3 linked regions of the Lytechinus pictus genome follow. The protein of the gene in region 1 interacts with the protein of each later gene in a pairwise test. Links are inferred from orthologs where the notes say so. Each region holds a gene or a part of one and is shown in the gene's direction. Other genes may lie near its edges.

Region 1 (4,565 bases):
AAGTCTTCTAAGCTTTATTTTATCTCTCTGTTTTGCGTTATTAAACCAGATGATTGAATCAAAAGTAATGATACTCTGGATGATCGACTGGTAAAATAGATACAGGATCCTATCATTTACATGGAAGTACTTTAACTTTCTGAGGAAATATAACCGTTGGTTGCATTTGGTCAAAGTGCATTTTGACTTTGCATCCCACGACAGTTTGCTGTCGATTCCCGTTCCTAAATATCTATAAACTTCAACATTGTCAATAATATCACCATTTATATGTACTGGTCTATCAGTGGGTTCAAAGGATTTCTTTTGCCTGAAGTCGAAGACAATTTCTTTTGTCTTCTTGGAGTTAACGAGTAAACAGTTTGCTTCACACCAATTTTCGAACGTATGGATAGTATCCATATAATCCAATTCATTTTCATTTTCAATTAATCCGACTATCACCGTATCATCTGCATATTTAAGTTTGTGAGTAGATGGGTTATATGATATACAGTCATTGGTGTATAGGGTGAAAAGGGTCGCAGAGAGAACACACCCTTGTGGAGTACCAATGGTTGTCGTTATTTCATCAGAGAGAATGCCGTTAACCCTAACCTTCTGTGTCCTTTCATGGAGAAAATCATGAAGCCACAGTATAAGAGATGGCTGACCATTTAGATTTTTCTACTTTTTCCAGGAGTATATGGGGTTCTTTAGTATTAAATGCTGATGAGAAATCTATAAAGGTTGCCCTAGCATATTAACATCTTGCCTTATGCACAACAAACAATTAGGGATCTTCTTCTTCCAGAGTAAGTGCTGCCTAGGTGATGAAGATAAATGCACTGGTTGTGTATGTACATGTATGTGTGGAACTTTTCACATTCTTATTAAAAGGTCTTGTTCTTGTAGTGCAGGTGCGTATATAGTAAGTAAAAGCATCCTTTGTGGTGTTTACTTCTGCACCCCAATCAAGAAGGCCTTGAAGGCATCAACAGAGGGTAATGGATTGGATCCTGTGGGAGATTGTTCCAGTCCTAAGTTACAGGTTAACTAGGGATTGGGAAGATGGAAGAATCATAGGTCTGACTGCTGCAGTGGGGTGTCCAAAATCGAGATCAGTGTCCCCTAGTTGCTTTTGACAGCTCACTGAAGAAGGACTGCCAGGTAATGTGAACATGATTGAAGCAGATACGTTACAGCAAAGCAAGCCACTGTCAAGACATCTGGTGAGTAACAATGGCCAGTTCAGGTTTTCGGTCGTTAGTCGTTACGCTGGATGTTTGGTTGAAGTCACCTGTGACGTAGCGTGCATGCCTTCGTTGTACCATTTCAAGCTTGTTTACATTCCACTGTGTGTCTCGGTCCCATGCTGTTGCAGCATATTCCACCATTGGGCATTCATATGTGAAGTATGTAGCCTTGATCTTGTGCCTACAGTGCTTAAATTTCCGTCATCGGATGGCGGTGACAGAATTCGCTTTCTTGACAGTATCCACATGACTGTTGAAGTTGAGTTTGTGGTAAATGTGGATACCAAGATACCTGGCAGAACTCACAAACTCTAGGTGATGCCATACCGGCCAAGAATCTGTTTCCTCTTGTTAGTGACTGTCAACGTTTGGCACTTAGAAGGGTGGAATTCCATCTACCACACATTCCCAACAGTCTCGAACATCCAGATATCATGTGTCTATTTGTAATCCAGTACTTGTTGGTACTGCTAGGATATACATTAAAAAATATTGAATTAATATAAACATATTTATTAGCTCTTACCCTTGTCTGACTTTCTTGTTCACCAGTGTGGTCAAAATCAAAATCTGTCATTTTGGGGTTTATTTCTGTGAGGCTCTCTATACGCCTACATTGTAGATCTAGTATTGGTGGAAAGTACAGGAACGGGTAACTGAAGTTTTATAATCAGTTTCATTAAAAAGTAGGATTTAAGCTGGCTAAGATACATGTATATGATGATTACACTGTACAAGAAAGTGTTTTGGCAAAATGTTTATTATTGACTCACGAGATGAAGAATAAGCAAAGAAGATCAATTGTCAAGCCTAGTTTAAACTTGTGCACCGTAGTATTACAGGACAAGGTTATATCTTTAAGTTATATATTAGATGGAATGATGGATGCATGTCTCCTAAAACTAGAGACTGTCTCTAAGTGTCAGGGGAGTATTTCATGAAAAGACTTGTTGGACAGTTACCATGGTAACAGTATAGCCTACATATATCGGGCTTTGTGAAATAGTGGGAGTTATTTATCCAAGGTTGGTCTGGCGATTACTATTTTTCCCTTGGGGTGAAGACCTGAGTGCAGAATAGTTATATTGCCAGTCAAACCAAGAATGCTTTCAAAGGAAATGCCTGTTATATTTGTCGTATTTCCTACTTTTAATGAATTAGAACCAAAATCGGTGCACTGAGTTTGCAGAGTCCGTTAACTTGCATTGAATGACCTACATGTACTTTCCCAAAGCTACCATGCTCAATGGAATGCTGATAGCGCTGACACATCACGGGAGAGGCAGCTTGCTGACCGGCGTACCAGAGAGATTAGCTACATGTAAATACCGGTATCTGCATGTAGTTTTCTCAAATAATGACATCAGAATATTGGTATATCGAAAATTATATTGAGGTCTAACGTCACAAATCATCATAGTTAGAATATATTTGGTTACATGATACTACATGTACATTGTATTTGAACCAATCACTATACAGGATTTATTTTAATGCTTATTATGCAAGCAAACATGTCGGATATAAATATTGATTAAATGCCCCAATATTTAAGGTCATTTGAGATGCTCCTAGGGGGCCATGCCCATAGGCTATCTCTTGTCAGGAAGTATACTGCTTGTTAATCCAGAAAAGAAGGCAATTTGAAGAATTTTGCAAGAAATATTTCATAAATTGTTTAGAAATAATGTACAATAGATCACAAAGGACAAATTTTGACAATTATTGCATATATGCTAAGCCTATAGATTTCCTCTTCTTATTAATCTGCCTCCAGTGTAAAAGATTCATTCAGATTTACTTAATTACAGACCATTAACTATAGAGCTGTCCAATGCGGATGTGCAGGTAAGAGTGTGTATCTTATCCATCCTGCAGGAGGTGTAATATTTCTTCAGTAGCCTACATGTATCTTACTGATTTTTCTGGAATGGACATACATGTAGATCACACACAAGTTATGACTTACTTGTAAGTAATGGAAGTTGAACCGGACTTTTGGGGGAGATTTTTATCAACATTTATTGTCTGCCAAGTTGTCAAATCTGAGACTTTCCTAGATAAGCCTATTGATTGGCTTAGAAGCACTGTTACTAGGGTAACTGGAATAAAGCAGACTTATCAGAAAAAAATGTCTGACAAATCCTTTCATGAAACACTCCCCAGAATGTGCTCCATGGTCATTACTTTTTTTATTTAAGGAGCCAAACTTTTTGTTCAGTAATATCATTGTTACTTTATTTATCTATTTTAGTTTTTCGTATCATTTTCCTTTCTTTGCAGGCTATTAAGAACCAGATCAAGATTGAATTTCCAATCAATGATTACTCCAAACTCCAAGGGGAGATCATAGGACCACCAGACACACCGTACCAGGGTGGTAAATTCAAGTTACACATCGAAGTCCCAGAGACGTACCCCTTCAATCCACCTCGTGTAAGCCTTTATTACCATAAAGTCCATCCATTTTCAGTTTAAGGATCTCATTTTTTGTTCATGTGCGAATGTGCCATCTAGCCAAGATACTTCTAGGGAAGAAATTTTGCTCTTATTTATATAAATGTTAATAGTCAAGACCAATTTTCCCTGTGTCAATTGATTGAAAAACAAGGAGATGTAGGACTTAGTAGTAGTAGTGATGATGGTGGTGGTGGTGGTAGAAGTAGTAGTTAGTAGTAGTAGTAGTAATAGTAGTACTGTAGTAGTAGTAGTAGTGGTGGTGGTGGTGGTGGTAGTCATGGGCGGAAATCTCAGGGGGGACAGGGGGAACACGTTCTCCCTACCAAAAAAAGTAGGAGGGACACAATATCAAATGTCCCCCCTACTATTTTTGTTTTTTTTATGATGGAAAGAAATACATCATTCAAAATCAAAATAAAACATGTAGTTTGGAAGAGATGACCTTACATTTGGGGTGATAACCATTTTTTTTGCTTGTCAAATTTTCCAGCCCCTGGTCCTCCCTACCTTTGGGGAGAGATCTCTACCCTTGGTGGTGGTAGTAGTAGTAGAAGTAGTTGTTGTAGTACTGTAATATAGTAGTAGGGGGCTCTGTGGTATTGTATTGCACTCTACATGTAATTATCGCATGAACAAATGGAAATTAATTGCAATCCATGAGTGCCATTTGTAAAGAAAATTATCTCACTTCATACACATACATGCATCTTTATAAGGCTGCCAAGTAGAGATGTATTAATCAATATCATACCATGTTTTTTTTGTTGCTAATTTTTATCATACCTTGAGTTTTAAATAGCAGTAGATTACATGTAGGAGGGATAATCAGGCTAAATTTTTGGTCGACGAGTCTAATGAAAATAACATTTC
Region 2 (4,565 bases), on another chromosome or scaffold:
TATTTTGTATAAGAATCAGCGTGTACAACAATGATATCAAAATTATTTCAAAAAGATTATTTATTTAATGGTTGCTTTGCAAACAAATAAGGAGGCGCCAACTATAATGTTGACAAACGCATTGTACATGTGACAACTGCGAATCAAATTGAAATAGTGGAATTAATGTTAAGTGTTGAAAGTATGAAGATGGTTGAAGTTTAATGAAAAAATGTACACAAGTTAATTAAATTATTTGCAATATGTTTAAAAGTTAATAAAAGTTTTTCAAATGTATAAATGTTTACATTAATTCACACTGTTTAAATGAATTGTCTGACAACACTGTTGTACATCTTGAGAAAGCATTATACATGTAGTTGAATTTTTTAAAATTGAAAACTCTGTTCTCTACGGCATTATGCCATTATGTATAGAAGTTTTACTCTAGCTGTTGACCTGTTATATGGCAGTTATTCAATTTCATGATTGCATTTTTTTTTTATTAAAGTATTTCTTTAACATGTTCAGTACATTGATTTTGAACCCTGTTTTGTGATTGCATTGTTAGTGCTTGTTGATTGACTCAGTGAGTGATGTAAGGTGAAAGGAAGAGAAATAATGGGTCAAAGTCATGCAGTGTAGGTAATAAGCGATCCAAACCAATGGACTTGGGGAGGGTGTCACTTCCATTGAACAGCATCTACATGCATTGCCCTGAAAAAAAGTGCACCCTAAACACAGATTTGTGCACGTATATGACTTAGATTTGCTCAAACAGGGATTTCATGTCAATGCCATCACACAGCCTTCAATAGCGTTTTAGCTAGTGATTTAGGATTTTAGGGGGCTCAGTCTTTTTTCATTTTTCTATTTTTGACACTTTATTCATGTTCTGCGCCTAACTGCGAAAAATGCTACTCTTTATTGCTTTTTTTTCTCAAGGATGCTGTACCACTCTAATCAATGGCAAAGACCCCCCCCCCCCCCCCCCGATGCAACAAAATATGAGGAAAACAAACTGAAAGTAAGATTAGAAGGACACACACACACACACACTACTATTCTGAGAGGAAATTGGTAAGTGTAAGACAAGAAATTTGAAGAATGAATATATAAGAAGGGTGAAAAAAAAGTGGGAAAGATTGATGAATTGAAATTTATAAATGTATGGATATTAGGAGAAAAATTGTGTAATGTAAGTGAATCGAAAAAAACATTCAAAGCAAGTTACTGGACCAAATTGCTTCTGCACAGCCTATATTGTAAAAGACGATAGAGGGAGCTCCGATTTGGAGCGAGTGGAATAATTGATCGCTAAACAACGGTAAACAACGAATTGAGACTCCTATTAAGTTCTAACTAGTGAAGATCGAGACCTGACTATTAAAGTTCTGTGTATTTTATTTTTAATGTGATTTACCCGTAGTTCAACCTTACATCAAGATGGGGTCTCAGCATTACAGTAATTCACGTTTTAATGGAAACAATCCATCAAGACTGCCAAAGGTGAGCTGAGTTGTGCAATGTAGCGCGAAGTTGGTCTTTTTACTTTAATTAATTTAAGTCCCACATGTAGCAAATTGTGCTGTGGTCTCTGTTAGTGGCACTGGTAGGCCAGGCAAGGCTAGTTTTAGTTTAGATCACTCCTAGTACCAATGAGGTCCAAACATTAACATGTATGGAGCTCATAGGCGACATCACTAGTATTTTGGGTTAGGAATCTTTGGGAAGATGATATTTCTATTTTATATTTCAAGTACGAGCTATAGGCCCTAGCCCTAGGCCCTATTCTTAATCTAACATGCAATTTTATTTCAAGCCAGGGTACATATCACCTATAGTATGGGTACATTACCGCCGCCGTCCACAGGATAACCACTTGCACGGCACTTGCAATGCCTTTCGGGCTATATATTTTAAATTAGCAATATATATGGATTTAAGATCAGATAAGCTTTGGATATGAAACTTACAAAACGATATGAAGCCAATTTCAATTCCTCTCTGTCTTTCTGGTACTTTATATCGATGATTTTTCTTGATGTCGAAGCAGGCATGGCCCCGATTCGCTGGTTCTTTCTATACGCACAGAGAGGGCGCGCGATATTATTTAATAAACTTGCTTGTTTACGTCGTTTACGTCAGATCAGCTGTACTGCTGGCTGCGTTCTAGGCGCTCCGCATTTTTTTCGCTGTTCAGCGTTATTTTATGATGTAGCGCCATCAGCGATTATGCGTGACATGCAACCTGTTGATTTTTGGTACAATTTCCTATTATGCGCCGGCGACTTGAATCTAGACTGTTCGATAGGAAAAATTCGCATTTCGATTGTTGTTTGCGTAATTTCCACTGCAGTATTAAGGATCAGACGGAGTAACTGGCTGAGATTTGGAGGTAAGCGTTTAAAATCCATTTTTATAGATAAGTTCGTGCTGATTTTTAAAATTAGATTACATTATAAGATTAAGATGACTAAATTTAGTATATTGTGAAGATTTAGGCGTGTTTCATATTCTCCCATTCGTGAGATGAATGAAAACGTCAAAATTCATTATGAAATGACATGCGTTGTGCGAGGTTAGTACATGTATACTAACCTCGCATGTTGTGTGAGTGGGTACATATAAGTTGTTATCAACAACAAAAGAAATTGAAAGAAATAAAGGGGAACTTACATTTTGACGACTTTTTGCTGATTTTCTTGGCAGTTGCTCTTCACTTCTGCCTCGCGATCGAAGCTGATATGCAGATCACGTGATATGCGTTCTCGTCAGCTGATCGGTTGGTTATTCTTTTCGCCAGACGTTGATAATTATATATTTTATAATTATAGCATTCATCGCAAATTTAGGTGAAAGAGATTGAAGTTACACAGCGCAAGCTTTAATTAAAAAAAAAACAATGTTTAATTGATTGCACAGGTTTCGCCTCGGACATGTAGGATCATTTGGTCCCAAATTGGCGTAACGCGTAACTACGGGGGGGGGGGGGGGTGTCCCTACCACTACACCCACTAGCCAGCAATTCTCTTTTTTTCTCTTTTTTTAAACCAAAATACTCCCCCCCCCCAAAAAAAAAGGAACCAGGGTTAAAGAGAAAGAGAATTATGATAGAGGAACACAAAATACTTTATTTTTTTTCCGCTTTTACTGTTTAACGCGACTTATAATCAAATATTAAATGGGGCTTAGAACAGTTTTTTTAAAGTCAATTAATAAATATTCCTCCTCGGGATTTGAGCTTTCATGAAATATCAATCTTTTTCACGATTACTGAAAATACTTAAAATGTCCAAAATTTTTATTGGTATATAAAGCTTTAGCTCATGCGTTGCGCCCGCCTTATTTTAATGTTGAGATACAATTTTATGCTTTGAATGAATTCCTAAAAACATTCAATTCTCAGATCTTGTCGTAATCGAATGATTCGATTGGTAAGCTAATACATGATTAATAAGTTTCATGATTGTTTAAAATGTGTCTCTCTATCAGTTTTGAATATTTAAAAAAATGTCAGCTCGTGCTTTGAGCTCGCAATATTTTGATTAGTAAGATTCTTCTCTTGTATATGCGAGTTTGATAGATAGAGAGATAACTAGAGAGAGAGGGGGGTCCCTCAGCGGAACAGAGACCAAAGCTTTTGGTCTACTTGCGACCTGGCTTAGCCTTGGGTCCAATTTCATTAGCCAAACAAACTGAGGTAGAGTAACATGCCCAAGATTCGACATATGTTAACAATAACAGTGAGTTACAATTTCTGCAATTTATTTTGTTGTAAAATTTCTTTTCACAAAGTGATGTTTGTTAGATATATTTGTCTATTTTTAATTTCAATATTCATTTTCAGATTCCATCTCAATAATTCATATAATCTTAAAATTTATTGCCATGTTTCACGGCCGAGATTCGACATCCCCTGCCCTTCGTTCGACATATCGCATCGCGCGTTCAAAAGTCAATGCGTGCGACAATCTTTTGTTATTTTAGGTGGGGGGGGGTACGTATGGAAGTCTTTCCAAAAAATGAAATAATAATAAGAGGTTTTTATGCTATCTCTTTCCCATTTTGGGGGAAATGGAATTATTTTCATTACTCCATCTTATCCCCCTTTTTTGCATGTTCACAATTTATTTGAAAACCGCATTTATAATCACAACAAAGTCAATTGAATTTAAGCTGATAAAAGTATTAAAAAGAGAGAGCGATATTTTTCCAATTTAAATTTGACAAAGTATAGAAAGCTCTGCAATGGAGGGGGAAAAATCCCCCCTCATGCCACCCCCCCCCCCAAGCGCACCCCCTCCAAAATAAAATCTTGGCTATGATGTTGATAAGAGCTTCTGTCTGGGATAAGATTGTGCAATCTCAAAGGATGTCTAACAATCTCTGCTATAGGCCTACTGTATGTAAGCGTGCCTCACTGCTGTATTTATTGCAGACCTGTGTGAATGCATCTGGAAAACACATCGTCCATCTAAAAGGATGCAAATGTTGGTATTATGTAAAGGAGAGTCCCAACCTACATGTATGCATGTTGAAATTAATAACAGAACGTTGTACAGTGTTCCCATTTTTGTCAATGC
Region 3 (4,565 bases), on another chromosome or scaffold:
GAATTAATTGTTGTTTCCCTTGACGATGAAGAGAACATTAGAATATTTCATATTTCATAAAATGAAATACAAAAGAAATAGTGAGTGGATGATGTCATCAGTCTCCTCATTTGCATACCGACCAGGATGTGCATATAACTGTTTTGTGAAATTAAGCAAAAATTAAAAATGTCGTAACTTTCTTATTTTGCATCCGATTTTGATGAAATTTTCAGTGTTATGCTTGTTTAATTTTTCTCTTTTTATTCAAATTAACTTTTTGTTGGGGTGGACTTGTCCTTTAAAATGGGGCAATCACTTTAAGTAGCCATGAAAAAGAAGCATATGTCACTACATAAAACGATAATAATTCGAAGTGCGAGGAAATATATTTGGTGTATATTGACTTGAAAACGGGAGGTTTTATAGTAAAACAGGATTATATATCTTGTAAAACAGACAATGCGAGCACCAGGAACAATGAAGACATAGGCCCTACGCAAATTTTGTTTCATAAAGTTATGATATTTGAATGTAATATAACATAACATAATTATAATATAATTTAACATTATAATTAACAATAATTTCTTCTTACCCCACTACTTTTCTATCCCTTTCTCCCTCTTTTTCTTTTTTACCCGTTTTTTTTTTTGGGGGGGCCAGCCGATTCGGGGGGGGGGGGGGGGGGGGGGCACGTGCCCCCATGCCCCCCCCGTAGTTACGCCACTGATTGTTTAGAAAGAACAATAAAAAAACCCAAAAGAAATGGTCCCAGTTAGTGATCATTGACTCTCTCATTTACATATCACTTGTTAATTATAACTTTTTTTTGGTGAAAAATAAGATAAATTTTAAGAGAAATTTGTTTGATTTTTCTCCATTGATTAAAATCAACATTTTTTTATGGAGTGGACTTGATCGACCTTTAAGGGCCTTAAGGGTTCTTGGTTAATACTTACACACTTATAGTTTCGTAATCTGTCATGAATTTGAAATAGACCTATAATATTTAATCTTAATTATCCCCTAATAATTTGAAACTTGGTTTTGCCCATCAATCGTCATCCCGGGGGCATCGACCCAATATGTGGTAAATATCAGTGGCGCCTCCCTCCCACCCCAAGTTGAACACCAACTTGGCTCCCTTACAGAGGTTAAGATCAAATTGGCGACCCTATGCTGCTATGTTTATCCAATATTCCCCCCCCCCTTTCTATATATTTTTATCGACCCCCCCTCTCTCTGATGCGATGACGTTTGAAATTTTGCCATTTTATTTTTTACGTAAGTAATCAACGCCCTCTACGGTCATTATTTGCCCACCAAATTTGAGTCTTGTTTGATCGGCGGCGAAATATTAGGCAAAAATTAGACGAAAGAACCGGTAAGTATAGGTCTAGGATCAAGTTATTTTGTTTTAGAGGATAAAAATTGCAATGAACACATATAATAAGACAAGGACAAGGCCATATAAAGATGCAACAGACAGGGATGACAGACGAGCAAGTTGAGTTCGAGCCCGTCGCGGGCGGCTCGGGCTCGGGTCGCCGCGGCCGCGGCAGCTCAGGCGGTGCTAAGTCAAATAATATCGCGCGTTCGATCGAGGCGCCAATCATTTCTGTTTTTCGAATCAAAACTGGCTTTGTTTTGTTTTCTTTTGTTTTTCGATGGACTAAGTCAGGGAACCTTTCATGCCTTTTGCGATCATAATCATAAATACTGAGACAATACATGATCGAGAACTAGTAGAGTTTAGAAGATCTTATTCGGCGCTAGTGTAGTTTCGCACCTCCCCGTTTAATGGTTTTCAAACATGTACAATCTCACCCTAAATAATTCACAACCTAAAATACTTGCATCTGAGCCTCCAAAGTCCAGTAGAAGTTGAATATTTGCCGTTTTGACACTTTTTTTTACAAAGTTTTACACCTATTTTGGAATCACTCGGTCGCTTGAAGCTCAGCGCTGCACATAAGCAGTCGGTACGCGTACAGTACGTACCACCTAGTGAAGTGCAAGAAGAGCGAGTTTTTCTATGGTATCTTCAAAAAGATTTTTTCCCCTCTTTCAGCTTGCACCAAGTATTACGGTAGTGGTTGTGCAGAGTGGTTGATGTTTTTTGTGTGAAGGTGTGTGTGGGGTGTGCGTGTGTGTGATTGTTTGAATGAAATAAGAAATGTGAAAAGTGTGAATACACGTACTAGATTTAGCGATGAAATAAGAATGTACATAGTGCTGTAGCCGAACCGCCGAACCGAACGGTAGTTCGCCGAACATGGCACTTCCGAACCGAACAGAACCGAACCGAACACTAAGACTTGGTTCGGAAGTTCGGCAAAAAAAAAAAAAAAAACGGCTTTCAGCTTATAAATTTATAAGTTTACACCCTTTCTAATCATCATATTTGCGCATTCTCTATTTAATCTTCTTTGCAATTGTATGTTGGAAGTATGCGCTTATTTTGCGGTTACTAGATTTTGTTTTCATTTTCATGTTGACATTGTGGTTTTTACGGCCCTGATTAAGAAAGGAGATCCGATGAACGATGTTGCGCGAGCTTGCGCTATTATCATTTTACTGGCTTTCATCATCTCTCGCTCTGTGGCCGAATCGCCGAAGCATGGTAAAGAAAACCAAAACTGTATGAGTGTTCATTGGTTAAATCTAATTATCTAAAATATTGTTGTTTTTAGGTGGCGAACAAGATTCTTGTTTGAAAATCTTCAAAGTATTTTGAATGAACGAGCTCAATAAACTGAAAGTGAAAGATGAAGTACCATTAATATTACGAATTACGATACGATGTGATTAAGATCGTAACTCGTGTATTGTTGCGGCGGAGAATAAAGATCTGATTGAGGTGATTGACATTATTATTGAGGTGTCGGCTCGCTACTGTCTAGTTTTCATGATTTTAGAGAGAAGTAAAGAGTTTTGAAAACGGGAGATCCAGTGAAAGTGGGAAATAAAGTGAGTGACTGTTAGAGATGGAAAGGAGAGACGCAAAACAAATAATATAGAAATGAGATGAGGTGAAGTTATCTTTTTTATTATTAACAATCAGATGAAAATAAAAATCAAACACTCATGAATGATTACGGTATAGCATATAGCAAGATCCCCTTCCCCTCGTTGACAAGTTGAATGTAGATAAAGCCATGCGGAAACATTCATCTCTTGGGGGAAAATGACCCCCAATCTTTACTTTTTTTTCCTTTCTTATCAACTTCTCAAATTAACCATAAACAATGCGATGATCACTCTACTCCCCCTGTCCCATTGCAGTCGTAAAACTTTGCATCCCACTTGGTCTGTATGTTCATGGTCGAATGAAATCTGACCAATGAAATCATAGAAATCTCGGGAATTGCTCTTCAATCAGTGAGCTGAGTTTCGCGAGCAGACAAAGCACGTGGCTGTATGTACCGATGCGACAATCAGCGACATGCGATTGGTGGTTTAGTTCACCCATCGAGCCAATTAGCGAAAGGCGCATTACATAAGCACGCTTTCTTCGACACGCCCCTGGCCCTACTATGTCTACAGTTCAGTGCACTGGCGCTGGCCGCCTCGTATGTGATGCAATTGCCAATCACGTTTGGCCGGACTGTATAAATATTCATGAGCTCAGAGTGCCGCTACAAGGCCAAGGGGACTGAGCTGCATGCGCTGGCCTAGCCTAGCGCTAGCTGGTACGAGTGCGAGCGTTTGGCAAGTATCCAAAGTGTGGTCCAGGTATGGACGACTAGGAAGAGTCGCCATTTTAGAACTGTGAGATACCCAATAAATCTGTCATCAGATAATCAAATTCGTTGAGCGCTATAACTTTCATAGTTTCATGTCAACAAGATAGAGATAAAATGGTTTGATGTGACAGAGGTACACGCGAGCACATGCAGTCAATCAAGTACAAATTGTCTACCGGTACGCTACGTATACCTGAGCTGAATGAACTATAGCTTTATCAGCCTATCATTACCGAACCCCGAACCGAACCAATGTTCGGCAAATTTCTGCCGAACCTTGCCGAACCGAACCGAACCCGAACATGGCGCCTGACTTGCAGCACTAAATGTACAGCCTTCTTTTGAACTCTGAGAGTAATGACATACACGTAATATGATAACCTCCCTGCATGTAGTGAGTGTATGCGCATGCAAACAAAAGGATGAAATGTTCATTGCATGTCCCAGGTGGTATGGATGGAGATGGTACGGCGTGTGAAAAATTGAAAAATGTAATCTACTAGCATGAAATCAACATAGCATACAATCAACATAGCATACAGTTGTAAACTGAAGGAAAGTTCTCTGACCTAGAGTTCAAAACAAGGCACTACATTATTATTTCTTATTTCATCGCTAAATCTACGTGTATTCACATTTTCACATTTCTTATTTCATTCAAAAAATCACACACACGCACACCCCACACACATACCTTCACACAACAAACATCAACCACTCTGCACAACCACTACCGTAATACTTGGTGCAAGCTGAAAGAGGGGAAAAACCTTTTTGAAGATACCATAGAAAAACTCGCTCTTCTTGCACTTCACTAGGTGGTACGTACTGTACGCG

Evidence for each region.
Region 2: the proteins of ubiquitin-conjugating enzyme E2 K-like (region 1) and RING finger protein 32-like interact in binary tests that used the Homo sapiens proteins (3 or more experiments, as listed by UniProt). The link is inferred for Lytechinus pictus from reciprocal best matches to the Homo sapiens genes UBE2K and RNF32.
Region 3: the proteins of ubiquitin-conjugating enzyme E2 K-like (region 1) and E3 ubiquitin-protein ligase TRAIP-like interact in binary tests that used the Homo sapiens proteins (3 or more experiments, as listed by UniProt). The link is inferred for Lytechinus pictus from reciprocal best matches to the Homo sapiens genes UBE2K and TRAIP.

Annotation. Positions count from the first base shown.
Region 1 is NC_087249.1:33,557,342-33,561,906, reverse strand, and holds the start of ubiquitin-conjugating enzyme E2 K-like, read left to right. Parts: upstream 1-1,160; coding exon 1,161-1,505; intron 1,506-3,518; coding exon 3,519-3,671; intron 3,672-4,565. UniProt on the Homo sapiens protein: Accepts ubiquitin from the E1 complex and catalyzes its covalent attachment to other proteins. In vitro, in the presence or in the absence of BRCA1-BARD1 E3 ubiquitin-protein ligase complex, catalyzes the synthesis of 'Lys-48'-linked polyubiquitin chains.
Region 2 is NC_087247.1:20,142,058-20,146,622, reverse strand, and holds the start of RING finger protein 32-like, read left to right. Parts: upstream 1-1,258; 5' UTR 1,259-1,425; coding exon 1,426-1,488; intron 1,489-4,565. UniProt on the Homo sapiens protein: May play a role in sperm formation.
Region 3 is NC_087258.1:25,779,353-25,783,917, forward strand, and holds the start of E3 ubiquitin-protein ligase TRAIP-like, read left to right. Parts: upstream 1-1,260; 5' UTR 1,261-1,366; intron 1,367-4,565. UniProt on the Homo sapiens protein: E3 ubiquitin ligase required to protect genome stability in response to replication stress.